Linked DNA regions of Ovis aries. Each later gene encodes a partner of the first gene's protein in a complex. Links are inferred from orthologs where the notes say so. Each region holds a gene or a part of one and is shown in the gene's direction. Other genes may lie near its edges.

Region 1 (11,019 bases):
ATGGGTTCAATCCCTGGGTTGGGAGGGGTTTAATCCCCTGGAGTAGGAAATGGCAGTCCACTTCAGTATTCATGCCTGGAAAATCCCATGGACAGAGGAGCCTGGTGGGCTACAGTTCATGGGGTCCCAAGAGTAGGACATTACTTTGAGACTAAATCACCACCATTATTCTCTGCTTATAACTGATCTAGTAAGTGGCTCAATGGATTTTAAAGCTGTAAAATTAGAGAGGTCGGTGGCTCAGAGGGTTAAGCATCTGCCTGCAATGCAGGAGACCTGGGTTCGATCCCTGGGTCAGGAAGATCCCCTGGAGAAGGAAATGGCAACCCACTCCAGTACTCTTGCCTGGAAAATCCCATGGACAGAGAAGCCTGGTAGACTACAGTCCATGGGATCGCAAAGAGTCAGACACGACTGAGCAACTTCACTTCACTTCACTTGTAAAGATAGCATTTTACTCTACTTTATTACAGAGGTCTGTCAGGGAGGATATATTGATTGGAACAAAGTGAAGAAAATATCTCATTTCAAAGTTTTACTAGCAAGTTTTCAAGATGATAGCTTTCTTTGTAAGACAGGGAAGCAGCAGAATTTAAGACATAGGCAAAGCTTCCCCTGAGGACATGCTATATGAAGAATTTAAATTTTCCTTTGACTTGGACTCCCGTCCAAGACAGTCATATGTTGCATCTGCTTTGAATCTCTTCTGATTCCTTCTACTTAGCCTTCAATGCAGTCTTCTCACATAGCTTTCTTGAACCAACTCTCTGAATTTACTATGACAGTGGCAATACAACAGCTGAGTTCTAGGTGGTGTCCAGATGTAAAGTCAGCAGGGATCTAACGCAAAGCTAAGAGTAGCACAAAGGGGCATCTGCATATGGATAACTTACAAGGGGTCTTAACAGTCTTAATGATGAGGATAAAGAAAGTGTCATTTATTGTATAATATTTCTCAGGCATTAACCTAAGTGCTTTGCATGGATGGTATTATTTCAATCCAACACTTCTATTGCACTCATCTCACACACGAGTAAAGTAATGCTCAAAATTCTCCAAGCCAATCTTCAGCAATACGTGAACCGTGAACTTTCAGATGTTCAAGCTGGTTTTAGAAAAGGCAGAGGAACCAGAGATCAAATTGCCAACATCTGCTGGATCATGGAAAAAGCAAGAGAGTTCCAGAAAAACATCTATTTCTGCTTTATTGACTATGCCAAAGGCTTTGACTGTGTGGAACACAATCAACTGTGGAAAATTCTGAAAGAGACGGGAATACCAGACCACCTGATCTGCCTCTTGAGAAATCTGTATGCAGGTCAGGAAGCAACAGTTAGAACTGGACATGGAACAACAGACTGGTTCCAAATAGGAAAAGAAGTACGTCAAGGCTGTATATTGTCACCCTGCTTATTTAACTTCTATGCAGAGTACATCATGAGAAATGCTGGACTGGAAGAAACACAAGGTGGAATCAAGATTGCTGGGAGAAATATCAATCACCTCAGATATGCAGATGACACCACCCTTATGGCAGAAAGTGAAGATGAACTACAAAGCCTCTTGATGAAAGTGAAAGAGGAGAGTGAAAAAGTTGGCTTAAAGCTCAACATTCAGAAAATGAAAATCATGGCATCTGGTCCCATCACTTCATGGGAAATGGATGGGGAAAGAGTGTAAACAGTGGAAACAGTGTCAGACTTTATTTTGGGGGGCTCCAAAATCACTGCAGATGGTGATTGCAGCCATGAAATTACAAGATGCTTACTCCTTCGAAGAAAAGTTATGACCAACCTAGATAGCATATTCAAAAGCAGAGATATTACTTTGCCTACAAAGGTCCGTCTAGTCAAGGCTATGGTTTTTCCAGTGCTCATGTATGGATGTGAGAGTTGGACTGTGAAGAAAGCTGAGTGCCGAAGAATTGATGCTTTTGAAGTGTGGTGTTGGAGAAGACTCTTGAGAGTCCCTTGGACTGCAAGGAGATCCAACCAGTGCATTCTAGTAGAGATCAGCCCTGGGTGTTCTTTGGAAGGAATGATGCTAAAGTTGAAACTCCAGTACTTTGGCCACCTCATTCGAAGAGTTGACTCATTGGAAAAGACTCTGATGCTGGGAGGGATTGGGGGCAGGAGGAGAAGGGGACGACAGAGGATGAGATGGCTGGATGGCATCACCGACTTGATGGACGTGAGTTTGAGTGAACTCCAGGAGTTGGTGAACAGGGAGGCCTGGCATGCTGCAAATCATGGGGTCGCAAGGAGTCAGACACGACTGAGCAACTGAACTGAACACTCCTATAACTTTGTTACTATTGCTATTTCTGGTTTACAGACTAGGAAACAGAGGCACAGAGTGTTAAAATAACTCTCAATAGCACACAACTCATGTTATCAAAGTGACAAAGAAAAGGAGAAAAAGGCAAGGAAAAAAAACGGAGCTTCTCTGGAGTATCTTCGCAACAGGAGCTTGTGGACCACCTATTTATTGTGCTGAAATTAATGCAATTCTGTCACCCTGACATCAGTTTTCAAGTTTCTTCATTCCCAGTTTAAAATCCCAAGAGAATGCATCTGATAGGTCTGGCTTTGGTCTGTCCTTGGTAAGTTAATGAGCTCTGATTAGCTGTACAGTAATGGAATACAGATATGGTTATCCCTACATAGAAGGGGCCCTTCCTAGAAATGCAGTAGTGGTTGTTAAGTGGGCAGCTACTCCAAGTACTATCTGCTCTATGAGTTAATGATATAAGAAGCTATGACATCTGTGTACAATTTTCTGCAGCTGATACATGGTCCAAGAATAATAACCGTCATTACATACTCTTGGTATAAGATAGGCTCAAGGATGTATTATACAATACAAGCAATACAATCAATATTTTGTAATGAATATAAATGGAAAAAACCCTATTTTATAATAAACTATAAGCGGAAAGCAACCTTTAAAATTGCATGAAAATAAAACATTAAAAAAACAAATATCAAATCATACAGTGTACACTTGAAAGTAATATATGGCACTTATGCTTCAATAAAAAAGAAACAAACAAACAAACAAAACACAAAAATTACATCAAGTAAAATACATAGGGTGTAAGTGCTATAATTTTTTTATTTCTTTGGAGTAGTGGATATAAATTGCCTGAATTGCAAATGATATATTATCTCTGTTTCCTTAATACAGAAAACTCCCTGAAGAAGCTCAAATTATACTGAAATGATGGATTTCTATTTCTATTTCTTCAATTTTTGACAGCATGTCCTTTCAGCTAATTGTGAATGAAACACCTGCTGAAAACAACAAAAAATGCTGGGTTAAAAAATCAAATAAACTGATGTACTAGTAACAAATGAAGAAATTCTCACAGGGGATGAAAAGAAAGGCAGCAAGAAAAATGAGAGCATACTGAGAAGTAAGTGAGGGCCAGGGGGCTTCATGCCTGTCTTGATCAGGAAACTCCAGAAGAAAAAGTCTCCCGTGAGAATCTGTAACAAGCCACTTTGATTTGAGGCCCAAATTCATTCAATCTGTGCAATTCAATAAACCTCAAGTGGATAATTTAATCTGGTACTAGAATTGATGATGCCTCCAAGAGATTTACAGAAGCAAATTCTAATAATCTCTAGGAAAACTTAGTTTTAACTCTGGCCTATAAGAATTTCCAGTTATAACCCTAGAAACACAGCACAGAGTCACAAATAATAACCCACAAGGAGGCAGACACCATGTGCAAAAGTTAGAAGAAACAGCAGACAGCACAAAAGACCCATAACATTTTCAGTACTGGATTTAACAGAGTACAGACTATGCTTAATTTGTATAGGAAATTAGAAAATGGCAGGAAATGAGAAGCAAACAGAACTTTTAAAACTAAAAAGTGTTTGAAAAATTTGAGATGGACCATATAAAAGGCCAAGAGGAACTGGAGGATAAAGTGAGAAATTCTTACCAATGTCCTATAGATGTTCTACGATATAATGGAGAAAAATGAGAAATAAACAACACTAAAAAGATAAAGGGTGAGAATTTTCTATAATTGTTGCAGGACATTATTCCTGATTCAGAAATCCTCTTAAATCCTAAGCATGGTTAAAAAAAGTGTGTGTGTTTTAAGGCAAGAGAAAGGGACGGAAGGAAGGAATTCAAACCTAGATTCGAGACAGCCAGAAGGAAGGGAGGGAGGAAGATTGAAGTCGCTAAATCGTGTCTGACTCTTGCAACCTCATGGACTATAGCCCGCCAGGCTCCTCTGTCCAACGGATTTTCCAGGCAAGAATACTGGACTGGATTGCGAGCCCTGGGTTGGGAAGATCCCCTGGAGAAGGAAATGGCAATCCACTCCAGTACTATTGCCTGGAAAATCCCAAGGACAGAGGAGCCTGGCAGGCTGCAGTCTACCAGTCTATGGGGTCTCAAAGAGTCGGACACGACTGAGCAACTTCACTTCACTTAGCAGAAAATAAGCTAGGTAATTCTCATTGAGACTCAGGTAAATTTCCTTCGCGATTCATCAATCTGACAGGTAACTCTCCTGATTAAGAACAGTGGAAAAGTCTAGTGTATAAGGAAAAAGGAGGGAGAAAAAAATGCAAATGCATAACGTGTTTCAGCTCCAATCTGAAAAACAGAAGTAGAATATTAAATTATGAACTAAAGACACATTTCCCTGGGCGGGTGGGGAAAAGTTAAGTAAAGACAGGTGGAAAATAACCATACTCAATCTCTACTGAGTGTTAACGTCTTTAAGAAAAAGGAAACAAACTCAGCAGTGAAGGGCTAAATATAACACGGTTGAACAAATGCGGGAAGTAATCGAAAGAAAAAAGACAACGTCTGGGGTGACAGACGTTTATACAGTTTATTGATTCAACTTTATATAGTTATTGCAAAAATAACCCACCCATTAGATATTAAGACATCATCCGTTATTCCTGGTTGCTCACTTTTTTTCCCGTGAAGGTGTACGTATAGGTCAATTACATTAGAATGAAGACTAGAAGGACCTCAAAATACAATGTATAAGAGGCTATTGAGAACTATTGATGCATCTTTCAACACAGGAAATATTTACTCCATGTTCTAAGTGTAAACTATTTTAGTTATACGGTAGCCAACCAGACGTCCCATTTGTATCTTTAGGATTGTTTACTGAGGATACATTCCAGCAACGAGCTCTGTTTTAAACAATCCCAATTGCCCGAACTTTGCTGATTATTCTAGCGTTGGAACCTTCGCCGTCTGCCTAGCACTACTTGAAATCCATGACTCACAAACGTCGGGGCATGGAATCACAGAAAGAAAGAACAGGTGAAAAGTTCTTCCCAGTTGTGTTCTGCAGAAGCATACAACTCCCGTCATCCCCCGTGAAAAATCAACAAATAAATAGCGGCACCGCATTTCAGATTCTGCTGCTCACGGCTCGCACCGGCGCCTGGTTTTTGTAGTTTTCTGGTGGAGAATTGCCAGCAAGTTCAAGCTTGTTGGGGAGGGACTAAAACTACACTTCCCACAAGGGGGCGGGGGCGGGGTCCAGTCGGTTTACGTCATTGATTCAGCCAGCCAATGATCACCCCGGGCGGCGGTGAGGCAAGCGCCGTCAGGCGCCAAAGTGCTTTTTTTTTTTACTTTTTTTTTTTTTCCGCCGGAGCCGAGCGGGTGCTGCTAGCGGAGGCGCCATATTGGAAGGGACAAAACTCCGGCGACAGCGAGTGACACAAATAAACCCCTGGACCCCTTCGCTCCCCCAGCTCTAAGGGCCGCGATGTTGTACCTAGAGGACTATCTGGAAAGTGAGTGGGCGGCGCTGGCTGGCCAGTCCGGGGTACCTGCGGGCGGGTGAGGGCGGGAGTAGACCGGCTGGCGGGATGGCGGGAGGGAGGGGGAGGCGGGGGATGTTTCTTTCTCACGGTAACTGCCAGCCTCGTTGTGGGCTGCGGGCTCTCTCGACCCCCCTCGACGCACGCACTCACGCAGTGACGTAAGCGCGTACTTTCGCCGTTGGCCCCGCCCCTCTGACGGAATCTCCCTTTGACAGTGATTGAGCAGCTTCCAATGGACCTGAGGGATCGCTTCACTGAGATGCGCGAGATGGACCTGCAGGTGCAGAGTAAGTCGGCGCGTTTGCCCTTGTTCGCTGCGCGCGTTCAGTGACAGACTTACGTGCCATCGACGTCAGCGGCTCTGGTGTTTGGCTGTCCTCCGGCTCATTCGCTAGTACAGAAGGAGTTGTCAAAAAGAACTGGCAATGCCAAATCTTGCCTCTTCTGTCTACCACACTACTTTTCTCCTGACTTTTACAAGAGAAGGTGGCATTAGAGCATGTATGCTCCTTTCTCGAATTTGGGACTGTGCAATAAAAGTTTCTGTACTTTCTTTGAGTATGTAGATACGATTTAGTGCACATCGGCATAAATGTTGCGAAGGTTTTGACTTGAGACTTTATGTGTAGAACGTAAATTTCAGCATTTCTATTTCTGTTAAAGTTCATGCTAGGCAAAATTCAAGAGCGGACAACACATAGAAGCACAGGTTTATGTAGTTCTTTAGAGACCGTGGTGAACTTGGAATGTCCCATTTGAAAAGTTACATGATAAAGGATGCATTCTCAACTGTCAAACAGTATGATAGTTTGTCAGTCAAAATGGGAAAGGAAATAAAATTTTACAGTAAAGCTTCTTGTCTGCTGTAGCAAAATTTTTCTGTTTTTCTTTTGGTTATAGCTTGGTAGTCTGGATACATTTTCCCGAAAATAACCTTGCTGTTTCACAGAGCAGTATTTAGTTTATATGATCATGTTTTTGATTTAGAGAGGGTAGAGAATAAATAACTTTAGAGGTAACATGGTAAATACAAGGCAAAATTTTGAAACACGAAAACAGTGCTCAGTACCCTTGTAGTCCATCATGCTCTGAAAGAACCTCACACACCTTACCCCTTTGTGAAATGAGTATAATATAGCTTGTCCAGCTGTCTTGTAGATACGCTATATTAAAAATTAAGAATGTGAAATGAATTATGTGATACGTAATTAAAATGTATAACCCAGTGTGCTTTGTTGGCTGTGTGTCACTCTTTTGGTTTGGAGAAGTGTAAGTACTCCTTAACTGTTTAAGGGCTATTCCTGCAGAAGGCATATCTTGATCCCCTGTGTTCTGGCTGCATTTAGACTATAAATAGAATTCAGATTGAGGTAAATTCTTGTGCTGACAGATTTTCTTAGAAAAGTATGGTTAGGGGAAGATCTGGGTTTTGGGGTATGATAAGGAGGAAAGGAGTATCACGGAAAGCAATCAGAGAACAGAACGTTCCAGAGTGGGAATCTTGAGGTAGCTAAGAGCCTGTCCCCCCACTTCTCTGTCACCGCTGCACATACTTCCATACCCATTGATCATGACTGTTCTTTTATGTGATACATAATGCAGGGTGATACATCATGGAAGTCACCTGCTGTTCACATTGTAGTGTAGACGTCTGAATTCTATATTTCTTCACCTTGCTCACAAAATTCGTTTTAACTTTAATGTATTTGAAATGCTAAATATTTGCTAAAGTAGTGTTTTCTACAGGATGGAGCGTAGTCATCAGATAAATCTGAGTTCATTTTAGGGCTTTACTGACTTAATTCATTGGCCTTGACCACAGTACCACTTCTGAGGGATTTTTTATTGTCTTGAGGATTAAAAGAAATACACATAAATTAGAATGTTTAGTACCTGATACAAAGTGGGCATTCAATAAAGGGTAGTTATTATTTTGTACTTTATATCACAAATGTTAAGTTCTCTAACAGTTTCGACTTGATTATATAAATCAGAGGTTTTTTTAAACTTCCATTTTTTACAATAATTAGAATTGTCTAAATTTAATAGGTATTATGAATTAACAAAAGATACCTCTTTGTAAGGTAAGAGATACATTATTATGCACTGCAAAGCTCCCAAACAATATAGTAAAAAGTTTTCCTCAGTTTACCCAGCAACAAAATCCCTTTAATTTTTTCTCTTTTAGCATATAAATGACTGTTCTTAGCACACATTTCAGAAAAAACTTACCTCAAATAAATAATATTGTATATGTGGTGCTTAATGGTATATAGCAAAAGGTTAAAACCTTTTTATCACATTTTCTTGTTGAGAGAAAAGTGAAGATTATCTAGTAGTGCTTTCAACAAGAAATTGTGTTTGGGCGCATCTGCCTGACTTAATATCATTAGTTTGTGACCCCAAGCCTCTACTAGTCAACAACTATGGGATGGAATCTATCTACGTTTGCTGACTACTTTGACTATCCGAAACAGTTTTGAAGTAACAAAAATAAATTTTCATTAGGAGAAAATTATAACTTTTACTAAGGTAATTAGTAAATTATATATATATCACATTTATAAATATATTTATAAAGTATACTTATATTATTAGAGTATATATTTATAGTATATATTAGAGTATAATATATATTATTACATAAAGCATATTTATATTATTACAACATGACATATTTAAATTACAGACCAAGTAAAAGAATTATGTGGTCAGATATTTTACAAAATAAATTGCAAAAATAAATTGTCAGTAGGGAAGGTTATAACTTTTCTTTACGAAGATAATTAAGATATATTTATTTATTTATTTTATTAGAACGTGACGTATTTAAGTTACAGACCAAGTAAAAGAGTGTATGTAGTCAGATATTTTCACATCACATCTTTCTTCACATCAAAGCATGTATATTCAGTATATGAGTTTGGTCATCTAAATATGAAATGTTTTTATTATGTCCTAGATGCAATGGATCAGCTAGAACAAAGAGTCAGTGAATTCTTCATGAATGCAAAGAAAAATAAGCCAGAGTGGCGAGAAGAACAAATGGCTTCCATCAAAAAGGTGTGTTCAACGCTCTGGATGATTTATCTGTAAATACTGGAACTCTCCGAGGAAGATAGGGGATTCCCAGGAGTCGTGACGGTAAAGAATCCACCTGCCAGTGCAGGAGACCTAAGAGACTCGGATTTCATCCCTGGGTCAGAAAGATCCCCTGCAATAGGAAATGGCAACCTGCTCCAGTGTTCTAGCCTGAAAAATTTCATGGACAGAGGAGCCTGGCAAGCTACAGTCCCTGGGGTCACAAAAGACTGAACACGACTTTCAGCAGTTGAAAATTGGACGTAACTGAGCACAGCACAGCTGAGGAAGACATTTTAATATTAAATGGGGGGGGATATCAAAATGAGAGAAAGTTATCAGTAGCTCTTTAGAATTTTAAAATGACTTACAAAATTAAAAATGATTCATTACATTTTAGAGCTTCAGGTGTAGGAACTTTCAAACATTGAAGCATTTTGGTAATTTAGAACAGTATTTCAATAATCAGTGACTAATCAGAGAGTTACAAAGCCATTTAAAAAGTACATTTTTTTCTTTTAATTTGTTTTATTCTAATTATGGGGAATTAAAGTTCCCTTGTCTTAAGATCTATTGGGTTGGCCAAAAAGCTCATTCAGCTCATAAAATGTGATGGAAAAACTCAAATGACCTTTTTGACCAACTCAGTATAGTATCTTCCAATTTGGGCAACAGACTGGGATGAAAATTAGCAACCTTGAAGCATATTTCATATATTGCTAAGTACCTATGTTGGTGGAATCATAGGAGAACAGAATGCTGACAAGTTTTGTAGTACTTAGAGCTCCCTTCCAGATTAGAATGGGTAGCAGCTCTCTCCTCAAGGTTTGCTTTAGAGATATGGTCTAGTTAATTTGCGGACATATTGGAAGAATGATTTACAAGCCCTGGGTTTGATCATGACTCTGCAGTTTGACTTTGTGATGTGGGACATGTCCTTTAATATCTCTGAGTAATAATGGCTCCCTTACCCTTACCCTTCATAGAATTATTCAACTGAGAAAGAAATTTGGAAACTACTTGTGTTATCTGTTTTACTACATGAAGGGAATATTATTTCTGTTAGGAACAAAAACATGAGAATCTTTTGTAGAATTAACCCTGACTTGCAGGATACCTGGAGGCCCGAGTGTGTGTGAGTATAGACATCACACATATACATCCTAAAGTCATTCATCATCCCCTTTTCCTACTAAGTTTCTGGTGCAGCACAGCCTGGATATACCCTAAAAACTCTTGACAGTTCATGGAAATTCATAGAATTTAAGAAAAAATAGTTTGTTTTATACTGGAGAGAACTGATACCTAGCTTAAAATGAGAGTCGCAGAACAACTGCACAATGGATGTGCAGGTCAGAAGCCTTTCAGTAGTTCTTTATAATAAGTGTTAAAAATGGAGAGTGTAAACACTCTTTACAAACTAGATGAATCCTAAGTAACATCTATTTTTAAAGAAAAAGAATTACTCTTTGGCTGACCTAATTTTGACTAGTATAGCTAGACCTGGATGGTGTTTATTTGTTATCTCTTTTCTAGGAATTCTGAACATCTTCCTTTAATCCTTGGTTGTTGTCTAAGATTTCTAATACTATCCCATCCCCACCCTATACCTAACTGGATTTTTATGGCTCATGTATAATGTATGTTCCTGAGTGCTTAGTCACTCAGTCGTGTCTGACTCTTTGCAACCCCATGGACTGGAGTCCTCCAGGTTCCTCTGTCCATAGGATTCTCCAGGCAAGAATACTGGAGTAGATAACCATTCTCTTTTCCAGGGGATTGTCCCAACACAAGGATTGAACCTAGGTCTCCCTCATTGCAGGTTGATTCTTTACCATCGGAGCCACCAGGGAAGCTCTGTAATGACTGACAGTGATAACAAGCCATGATAATGCAAATGCAGTTATAGGTCCTGGATACACAGATTTTTAAGTTATTAATTTGTTCCTGAAACATGAATGTTTTTATTCAGGATTACTATAAAGCTTTGGAAGATGCAGACGAGAAGGTTCAGTTGGCAAACCAGATATATGACTTGGTAAGTAAAAATTAATAGCCATAAGTATTTGAATTATGGATTATGTTTTAAATGGTGTTGACTTAAATGTAATAGGAA
Region 2 (10,794 bases), on another chromosome or scaffold:
CACAAAGGCATCATATGAGCAAATAGTAGCCTTAAAAATTAACTTAGAGATCTTAGAGCCGTCAGGTGTTGCGAAGGCTGCAACCATGAATAACCTTTGTCTGGCCTTGGGCCTTGAAACTAAACATTGACTGAAGCTATCTTTCCCTTCCTGTTAACTCAGACTGTGAAGACAGTAATTCAGCTGTAAAATGAAAAGGAAGAAGAGTAACTCACATTTGCTGAAAATCTGAAAATCTATTAAGAGTCAGGAATCTGCTGAAGCTTCATCCCACTAGTAAGTGGAAGGGGCAGGAGATAATTCACCTTTGAGTGGGCACCATGACATAATAGGAAAAATCATGGGTTTTGGAGTCACAAGAGAGAACTCTGAATCTTTGCCCTGCTGTTTACTAGTTGGCAACTTGAAGTGAATATTTAACTTCTCTGGGCTTCAGTGAGGAGTCACAAAGATAATAGATATAAAGAGCTGAGCATAGTGCTGCCTGGCACATATAAGGCATTCAGCTCCTATGTCTTTTTCTGCTACCACCCTGACTCCAAAGTTAATTCACATTATTCACACCATTGGCCTTTAGGACCTCGTTCAATAGAGCATAAGGACGAGTCTGTGCTGTGCTGCTCTGCTCAGTCGTGTCTGACTCTTTGTGACCCCGGGGGCTGTAGTCTGCCAGGCTCTTCCGTCCATGGGATTTCCCAGGCAAGAATACATGGAGTGGGTTGCCATTTCCTTTGCCAAGGTAACTTCCAGACTTAGGGATCAAACCAACATCTCCTGCAATATCAGGCAGATTCTTTACCACTGAGCCACCTGGGAAGCCCCCAAGAATGGGTCTACCAGACAGAATATTGAAGTGAGAGTCAGGAGACATCGGTCCCAATGCCAGACACCTCCCTTGATGTACACTGAGTAAGTTACTCCCCTCTCCTGATCCCATCAATAAAACAAGAGAACACGTCTAGCTCTGATGCTGAAAGGCAAGAGCAGAGGAAATTACTTTTCTTGAGCACCTGCCATGATATACACACCAAGTTAGGCCCTTTTGCATACCTTATATACATATGCTAAATCAGCACTGTCCCATAAAACTTTCTGATGTTGGGAATGTTCTGTATCTGACAATATCTAATTTGGTACTAACACTAGCCATAAGTATCTACTGAGCCCTTGAAATGTGCATAGTGCAACTGAGGAACTAAATTTTTTATTTTATTTAAATTTAACTAATTCAAATTTAAATACCCATGTATTTAGACAGTGGTTACTGTATTAGATACTGCAGCTCTAAGATAATGAAGCAGGAATATTTGTTCCCATTTACTGTATGTTGAAACTGGGGCTTAGAAAAATTTATGAATTTGCTGAAAGTAACATAAATAGTAAATAAACCAGATTCAAAACCAAGCAGTAGAAAGTTTAGCAGCTTAGTACTGTCAAATACACCAGGAATTACCTAGGCTCCACTACTCACAAGTTATATAACCAAAGAGAGATAATTATAGTCTCTAGAATTCACTTTCATCGTCTATAAAATAGGGATAATCATCGCCTAATTTGTAGGCTTACTGTTGAGATTAATAGGTTAGAGCTATATAGAGTGTGGCTTTCAGCAACTGTGTTTCCTCACCACCCTTTTACCTCAGCCCCACACAGAAGAGGTTTAGACAGAAACTAAAAAAGATAACTGTAAGGTAGAGGGGGCATTTGGGAAAAATAAAAGCAAGAACGGAAACACTTACGAGCTTTCATATGTTATCTTTCATAGAATGGAGTTGAGGGAAGGTATGAAATCATCAAACTGCTTCCACTTATTTGGTTTGCTTCCTTGCCGTATTCTTGATACTCCAGTCAATGTTAGCCAAGGCAGGGAACAAGGTATATATAATGTATTCTGAGGCCCCAAAAGATAAGATAATGCAGCTGAACAACACAGTACTGTCAAGGGCATGGGCTCCAAGGGCAGGTAAAGGTCAATCCTGGCTCCCAAATTTTGTATGCACAAAATAACAGACACCACTTCACAACAGTCTTTCATCTGTGAAACAGGACAGATAGCATGCAGGGTGTCTCAATAAAAAACATATGTTTATTATTTTGCTTTACATTCTGTAGCACCCTCTAGTGGAGTGTACAAAAATAAGCATTATATTTCTACCCTCCAAGAAGTGTGCATTGGAATCACCAGAATAGTTTGTTATAACACAGACACCCAAACCCTAACAACTACTAGAATTTCTGATTAGTTTGGAGGTGAGAATCTAAATTTCTGACAATTCCCCACCAGGTGGTGCTATTGGTGTGTCTGGAAAACACTTTGAGAACCTCTGCTCTAAATCCCACCCCTCCCCAAAGGGTGCACGTGTGTGCCCAGAAACACATATGCACACACACACAAACGTATGGAATCTATAACTGAAATAAGTATAACTTGTGTTGTTTGATTTTATTAGTATGCCTCTAACAAGGATTTTGTGAAGAATTAAAGAATATCATGTGATATGACACATCTAAAATATAGAAAGCATGCAAAAAAACAGGATCACAGAACATAAATCCCAGGTTCTCAGAACTAGTAAGTGGTGGAATCGGGCTCAAAATTAGGCCTCTAATTAGGCCTCTAAACTCCAAAAACATAATAAAGTTTCACAGTACTACTGCAGAAGACAGGGTGAAAACACAAATATCCGATCATAATTTCAAAAGTGAAAGATCAGTTTTCAATCCCAGGGTCCAAGCCCAGTGAAGACAAATGTCTGTACTGACCAGAAAACCACCTGTGTTTTCCCTGCAGCAGAGCAGGGGTCAGGGTGAGGTGGTAAAGCGGGGCAGGTGGCAGCATTTGAAAAGATCCTAACCCCACAGAAAGGGTTAGAATCTTCGTATCTTCATCGGCGTCAGTGCTTGGGGGTCATTCATCAAAAATCCCATGGACGGAGGAGCCTGGTGGGCTGCAGTCCATGGGGTCGCGAAGAGTCAGACACGACTGAGCGACTTCACTTTCACTTTTCACTTTCATGCATTGGAGAAGGAAATGCAACCCACTCCAGTGTGCTTGCCTGGAGAATCCCAGGGACGGGGGGAGCCTGGTGGGCTGCCGTCTATGGGGTCGCACAGAGTCAGACACGACTGAAGCGACTTAGCAGCAGCAGCAGCACCCCCAAAAAAGGCAAGAAGAAAGAGATGGGAGGGGGAATTTTTTTTTTAAGGAGGAAAGAAGTAAAGAAAGGAGGTAAACATTTGAATAGAGCCCTACCTGGTAGGGCTATTAATAAGTTAATTTGATTTTTCTCGAGAAATGAAAGATATATATGATCTTTATAGATTGGAAAGCTCAGCAAATCAGAAAAAAAAAAAAAAAAAGATGGGGGAATCCCATAATTCCAGGGACCAAACAGCCAATCCTTTGCTGGAATTTGGCGGCATCTAGTGGCAAACTCAAAAGGTATAAACCTCACACGGAGAACTTTCTGGAAAATTAGAGTGCATACTTGCGTTAAGAGCACTCTGCCTGGAAATCAGAACAAGCAGGTAAGAGAGCCTCAGCTCCCACAGAAATTCGGAGTCCCTAGTGGAGGGGAAGTCTGTCGTGTACAGATATTCTCAGCAAAATATTGTGGCAGAACTGGACGCAACTTGGGGGTGGGGGATGGACGGGGGAAGGAGCGGGGGTTGGGGGAAGACGGCTATTAGGGAACAGCAAAGCTGCTTTTTGGAACTGCTAGTAAGCGAATGGGGGATTTGGTTGTTAACCGCTGCTGGGCTACGGCTTAGAACGGGATTTTTGATTCGGAGATAGACGTGGGAAGAAAGTGTATTTTTAGGGTTTAAAATCAAATCGATAGGGGAGACCGAAGTATTTCTAGCGAAAATCCTTTATCTCAGTGATGGTCGCCATAACTTAATTGCTTAAATTTCCGTTTTATAAGAATAATTTTCAAACATAAGTAGAAAAATGATCCGCATAGAACGCGCGCGCTCACGCGCGCACACACGCGCACGCACCCGCCCCAGAACACACACCAGCCCCGACGCTAGGGGCGCACGCCTGCGCACACCAGCCACCTCCAGCGCCACGAGGCCTGGCGTTCGCGCACACGCCAACGCCAAGGCCACGCGGGCTCGCTTGCGCACAGGAGCCCTGACACCGCGCGCCCGCAGTACCCCCCACCCCCAACTCGCACACACATCAAAACCCCCAGTCAACCTTTATTTTTTTTTTTTCCTCCGGGAGTTGCGCAAGAGGTTCGGGGGCGTGGCCGCAGATTTGACCTAGCGCTTCCCCACTCGCGGGGACCTTAGCTCATTTCCGCCCATCCTGTTTCCGCAGGCCACGTAGACACTTCCTTTCCCAGTTGGGGGGGAACCCACAATGCCTCCCTGCAGGAAAAAAAAAAAAAAGAAAGAAACCTCTGGGCAGGGGAACTCTGGGTCGTGAAAGTGGGCCACGTGAACACTCTGCCCTATAGACTTATGACCCAACCGCTGTCGCGCTTTTGGAGGGCGGGCTGAAAACCTAAGAGGGCGAACGTCATTGGTCAGAGCCCTCACTAAAGGAGAAAGGTAATTGGTTTCCTTCAAGCCTTAACGGTGAAGAAGCAGGTTGCTAGCACCCGCCTTTACTGCGGCGGAGTGTCATTGCTGACGTGGTGAGCTTCATCCAATCATTTGGTTATAGAACATTCTAAAACTTAGATGAGACGATTGTGATTGGCTGTAGGGCATAAGCCCGCCTCCAGGGTGACGTGTCTGCCTATGGATATCAGTTGCCAGAGAAACCTGGCTTTACTATGGCGGTTGGAGAGTCGGCAGTGATCACACGTCGTCGTCTGTCGGAAAGAACTGGATCCTCGTTTCAGGTTTCGGGGTGGGGGTGGGGAGAAAGGGTTGACGATTTCCTCTTATCGTCGCGTATACAGACAAGATTAATTAATGGCTTTACTATCGGGCAGAACTAGATTCGAATTCCTACTCGCCAACGCCCAGCTTGGGCTGGCTGTTCTTTCTGTGTCTCGGTTTCCATGTTTGTAAAATGGTGATAATAATAGTATCTGTCTCAGAGACTTGTGCCTCAGAGGCGTGTGCTGTATATTAGAGCGTATAATATACGACTGCTAGGTAATGTAATACGTATAATAACTTAATACGCACCGTGGCTCCGGAAGACGTTAGCTATTACTGTGGAGAGAAAAACCCGCGTAATAGAGTGAGAAAAAACGTAAAATTATGTAAAGTCGTTCCTTACAGTGCTTTTCCTATCACCTCCTTCCGTAAAAGAAATTCGAGATACAAAAGAGACGTATCAGTCTTTACCAATGAAATAATTTATTTGACAATTACCTCAAAATAGCGGGGATTGGAATTTTCCGTATTGAAAAGTTAAAAAAAAAAGCGGGGGTGGGGAGAAACGGAGAATGAGGAATGAGAGCTAGCTGGAGATGAACCACATGCGATGAGTAGGCCTTGTTTGAATCCTGATTCGGGGAAATCAACTATAAAAAAATACTTAAAGGTGCATCAGGAAATTTTAAAGACGGATTCGACATTTGATTTTTTTTAAGGAATTAATGACGATGTTTTTAGACGTTGTAATGATACTGTGGTTATGTTTTCAAATTGCCTGTAGCTTACAGAAATATACGAAAATACGAATTAAACAATAAAAGCATTCAGACTGGCTTCAAAATACCTTGATGTCTAGGATTTGCTTCAGAATTAGCTCAGCGGTAAGGGGAGGTGGCGAGGGGCATAGATAAAACAAAATTGGCACTAAATGAATCGTTTAAGCTGAGTGATGAGCTTATGGGATTCCTTGTATTGTTCTAGCTTCCTTGGTATATGTTTGAATTTTTCCATAATAAAATACAGAAAGTCAGCTATTCAGTGCTCTTGAGAAAAACAAGAGTGGGGGGGGGGGCGGCGAGCAGTGGGTGGGGTTACAGATAAAACAAGATGGCCTTCAGTTGGTAATTGTTGAAGCTGGATGATAGATTCGCAAAGGTTTATATTATTCCCCTACATTTTTATCCATTTGAAATTATCCTTAATAAAACTTAGAAAAAAGCAAAAACAAATTATCGGAAATCATGATAAATGTACAATAAGGTAAATTTGAAAATGTAGCCACAAGAAAGGGGGAAAAATCTTGTACGTATTTTATCAGCTTTGGTGTCCTTTGTGTATGTTAAAATGCATTGGTGGAAAACAAAACGTTCATCTCATATCTTTATGTCCTTTGCTGTCCCCTTGTTTGACCTTCTAGACTACCATCAGAAAAACTAAGTTTGCTGTGTAGTGAGGATCAGGTCTGATCCTGATTGCAGAACATCCCTCATTACAGAATCTTGGGTAAGTGCCTCCCTTCTCCTGGCCTCAGTTCTGAAACAAGATAATTCCACATAACCATGATAACTATCTAGGAATATTTTGAGGATTAATAAGGGCCTGTCGAGGAAAGCACTCTACATTCTAAGAATGGAAGGATGGAGCTAAGTCCATCTGTGCTTTCAGTATAGAAAGTGCCTAAAAATCAGTGGGCCCTGTAATCTTACATTCCTTGGTAAAGGATACTCTCTAATACTGCCTATAGTTAGAGCTGTGCATCTATATATATATTTTTTAAAGTTTGTGGCATTCCCTATGCAACATAATTGAGTGGTCAAGAGCAAATACTGACTTCCTGAATTTAAATCCTGGTTCTGCCACTCACTGTAGGATCCTGGGCAGAATACTTACTCACTCTGTCTCTAAAGTTCCTCATCTGTAAAATAAAGATAATGGTTCCTACTTCATTGGATTATTAAGGAAATTACATGTAAATTGTTTGGCACATATAAGTAGTTGATTTAATTAATCATTGTGACTATTAGTCCTTCTGGTACATCCTGTTTTACACACTTGTGCATATGCACATATGCACACACGCACTAATAAAAGCAATAGATACCTTTTTGGAGTTGTTAATAATAATAATAATAATAATACTGTTGATTTCTCTCCTGATTTTCCAGAAGCAGCGGTTACTACTAGAACTGAATTCTGAAATTATAACTTCTGACTTATCCTAACACTCTAGAAAGGTATTGAGTATGTTGATCATATTTATTTATAAGGAAATTTCTAGAAACTGTAATTTTTAACTAGCAAATCAAAACCATATTCAGTCTGCTAACAGGTTTTATATTATTCCTCTTTTGTCTCAGACTCAAAAAATAAAATGTTAAACATTAATGTTCCAAGATCCAGAATTGATATAAATGTAACTGACACAGTGTATATGCATTTAAAGATTTATTCCAACAAACCACTGGATTTGTTCACATTCATTTCTGACACAGTCATACACAAAAATGTCAGTAAATGGAGTCTGTATTCCTGAATAGCCCATCATTTGGGTGAGGAGATGAAAGAAGGTTTTTCAGTCTCTTGACAGCTTTATTTTCCCATGGAGTCACTATATTTTCCTTGCTACTTCCCGCCCCCCCTTCTGAAAGCTAAGTTGCAGAGGAGGGCACACTGCCCTGGTGGGAAAGATGCAACAGATTGGAAGGGGGAGGGCACAGAACCTCTTCATGGGAGACTATTTGGAGAGTGATTAAAGGTGAAAGAGAGGTGGACTGTTAGGCCAGTAGCAGCCCAGAGAAGGCAAGGGTCAAGGTAACCTGAAGGAGCCTCGAGGGGGAAAAGGACCTTGACCTGGGCCTCTGAGGATGGAGAGAATCCATAAGGGGAGAAGGAAACCAGTTCAAATGTTATGCATGTAAAGTATATGATATACAATGCTTAAGTCCAGCTGTATGTTAGAACCATGAATAAGAATAGATCTGAAAATTAATAATGATTTTAAATATGCATATTTTAGTGTAAATCTTTAGTCACTTAATTGATATGTGAATCAGTCTCATAATATACAAAGCTAAAATGTTACAGAGTAGGCCCAGGTTTCCTTTCCTCACGCCCCCATTTCTCTTACTCTCCTCAGAGTTAACCACTATATTATCAGTTCTATTTCCTTCTAGATCTCTAAATTATGCACCTGTTTAAAATGTAGGATATATATATATATAAAATATTCTTTGGTGTTTTCTTTTACATAAATATGCTATCATAGATACTGTTTGACAACTTGCCTTGGATGTCTTCATGTCCATTATAGAGTTGTTTGATTCCATTCACAGTGGCATTCCTTTAACTAGTATGATAGTCCATATAAAGAGTAAGCCATGTTTTGTTTTGCCAAATCACTATTGATAGTCCTCCAGGTTGACCCCAGTGGTTTTCTGTTTAATTTATACTTCACCAAACATCCTTGGAACCCCTTTACAAGTGTTAATTCCAGGGCAATATTTATGTCTTTAAATTATGATGATTAAACCAGTGTTGATACTGGTGGGAGAGGAAACATCATTATGACAGACTGGATAACCTAGAAACAGTGATACTTTTAAAAATGGAATAATCAAAAATCATTGGAAACTAAGTACCTTTAAAGATCCATATAATTTAGAATGCTATAAAACAATTCAAATCAGTGGGGAAAGGATAGGCTCTATAAATTAGAAAAAAATTAGGCATAATATTTGGAAGAAACTATAAAATACTGAGAGAGAATACAGGAAGTCATTTAGAATATTGATTTGGGAGCATTTTCCCCAGGCATGACATGCCAAAGTTCACAAAGGGAAAAGTTGACACATTTGTGTTTTTATACACACAGTGACCCACTTAGAAGAATAATGACAGTTTGGAAAAAATATTTCTAACACACAAAAACACCTAGTGTTTAATTATTAGAAGTCAATAAAAGACAAAACATAGTAGAAACAGGGACAAAATATATAAGAGATGGATACGTACAAATATCTGAACATATGCTCAGTATCACACAAATTCAAATAAAAATATCTTTCTACATATTAGATTACCCCCCTTTTTTTTTGCCAAAAAGATGTTTATCCAGTGTTGCTGAAGTTGTGGGTGAATAAGCTTAACATTTTTGCTGGGAGTACAAATTAAAACATTTCTTCACAAATTAAATTTATCTCTTAAGTCATCAAAGTTGTAAATAAGCAAACCCTTTGAGCAGTTGAGAATGCCCTTCTGAATACTTACTTAATTCGCTAATATATCTATACACTGATATCTGTTAACAACATTTCTGTAATAATGAAGTGTTGGAAACAGCCTAAATGTTCGTTTATATGGGACTGGTTAAATTATACTCTGTGGAGATTGTAGAACGATGTGGATGTTAAAAAGAATGAGCTAAGTATGTGGCCATAGATGCCTGTGATAAAGTGAGAAAACGTGAGGGGCAATATGTGTCTCACCTTTGTCAAGACAGTGTAAATCCATGATGCATAATCACAATAAGAGCATAACAGACACATTTAGTTTTAAAGTAGGTTTCTGTGTGAATGTGTACATAAAAAGATTTGAAGACATTCTGAGATCAGGGAGGGAAGGTGGTAAGAGGATGCCCATATATATCTATATATTTTGGTGTTTATAATTATGTAATTTTATGATTATGTAAAGGAACTATTACTCAAATGCTACCACAAAATTAATTACTTGGGAATATAGATTTTCAGTTCACAACAAATAGTTTTTGGGTGGGTTGAGGAATTAATATATTTTAAAAATCCATTAAAATGTCATCAATTTTTAAGCTTAATGGAAAAACCACATATTTCATCATATGCATCTTTAAAAATCTCATCAGACACTATAAACTGGGAGAAATATTTGCCCAGATATGACAATTGATAAGCAACTATAAAAAGCTCTTAAGAAGCAACTCAAAATGAATAGAGGACATGTAAAATATACCTGGCCAGGAAACATTTTTTTAAAATACCAAGACAGCTAATAAAAGAAATAACAAGCACCTATTTTCCTTATCAGGTTACAGTGCAGACCAGAGTTGTGAGTTTAAAAATTGGTACAAATTGTGAGAGAAGTAATTTGGCAGCATATTTTAAGCTACTAAATCCACATCTGGGGGCAAAAAAAAATCTTTTAATTACAGGAAAAATTTAGGGGGGGAATCACTTTCCAGAAAGAGGGTGGTTAGAAAGTATGCCCATTTGGTTTCATCTCATACAGCTCTCAAGGTGTATGCATATTCCAACCTTATTAACATGGGGAAATGATCTGTCAAAATAGTAAGGTTTTAAATATCTAAGATTTGATACCAGACCTTCAAGGATTTACACAGAAATGGAAGATAGAAAACTAACACAAACATACGAACATGTTTTCTCTGGCATAACCTAGAACTGACGTAGGGAACAAGTGGGAAAATATTTGATGACCGTCATTCTTAATTTGTGCTTCCATTTTCCCCATGTGCTGAATCACCTCACTGATTCACTAATGTATACCCAGAAGGGACCTAAGTGCTGCTGCAGAAAGTGAGAGATACATATTACAAAGCTTATGACAAGTGGAGATTAGTGGTGTAGTTCCATAAGCAGAACAGGTGAAACATTTAAGTAAATACTAAGTTGTGGAGTACTAACAGCTCATATGGTATCAGAGATGGGGCTAGAGTAGTTAGGAAATCTAATGGGACTTTTCCTGGTAGATGAGGTAGCTGAAGGGAGGAAGCATGATGCAAATAACAAGTAGGTACACCAAGCCAGTAAACAAACTCAAACTGGCACATTCAGTTTAAAACAGCTCAAAGCAATGTGTAGTGCTAATGTTTTTAATGAGGAATATCCACAGCATGTATGTCATCAAGTGATGGAGTGATGTAAACTTCTAGCAAGGGAGGTGCAAAGTGCAGTGACC

What was found. The genes of interacting proteins can lie anywhere in the genome.
Region 2: ING3 (region 1) and MORF4L2 share a complex: the UniProt entries of both Homo sapiens proteins name them as parts of the nuA4 histone acetyltransferase complex. The link is inferred for Ovis aries from reciprocal best matches to the Homo sapiens genes ING3 and MORF4L2.

The regions. Positions count from the first base shown.
Region 1 is NC_056057.1:87,067,599-87,078,617, forward strand, and holds the start of ING3 (inhibitor of growth protein 3), read left to right. Parts: upstream 1-5,646; 5' UTR 5,647-5,764; coding exon 5,765-5,792; intron 5,793-6,037; coding exon 6,038-6,109; intron 6,110-8,784; coding exon 8,785-8,885; intron 8,886-10,875; coding exon 10,876-10,941; intron 10,942-11,019. UniProt on the Homo sapiens protein: Component of the NuA4 histone acetyltransferase (HAT) complex which is involved in transcriptional activation of select genes principally by acetylation of nucleosomal histones H4 and H2A.
Region 2 is NC_056080.1:129,266,307-129,277,100, reverse strand, and holds the start of MORF4L2 (mortality factor 4-like protein 2), read left to right. Parts: upstream 1-3,469; 5' UTR 3,470-3,528; intron 3,529-4,784; exon of another isoform or gene 4,785-4,856; intron 4,857-6,259; 5' UTR 6,260-6,345; intron 6,346-7,007; 5' UTR 7,008-7,076; intron 7,077-10,794. UniProt on the Homo sapiens protein: Component of the NuA4 histone acetyltransferase complex which is involved in transcriptional activation of select genes principally by acetylation of nucleosomal histone H4 and H2A.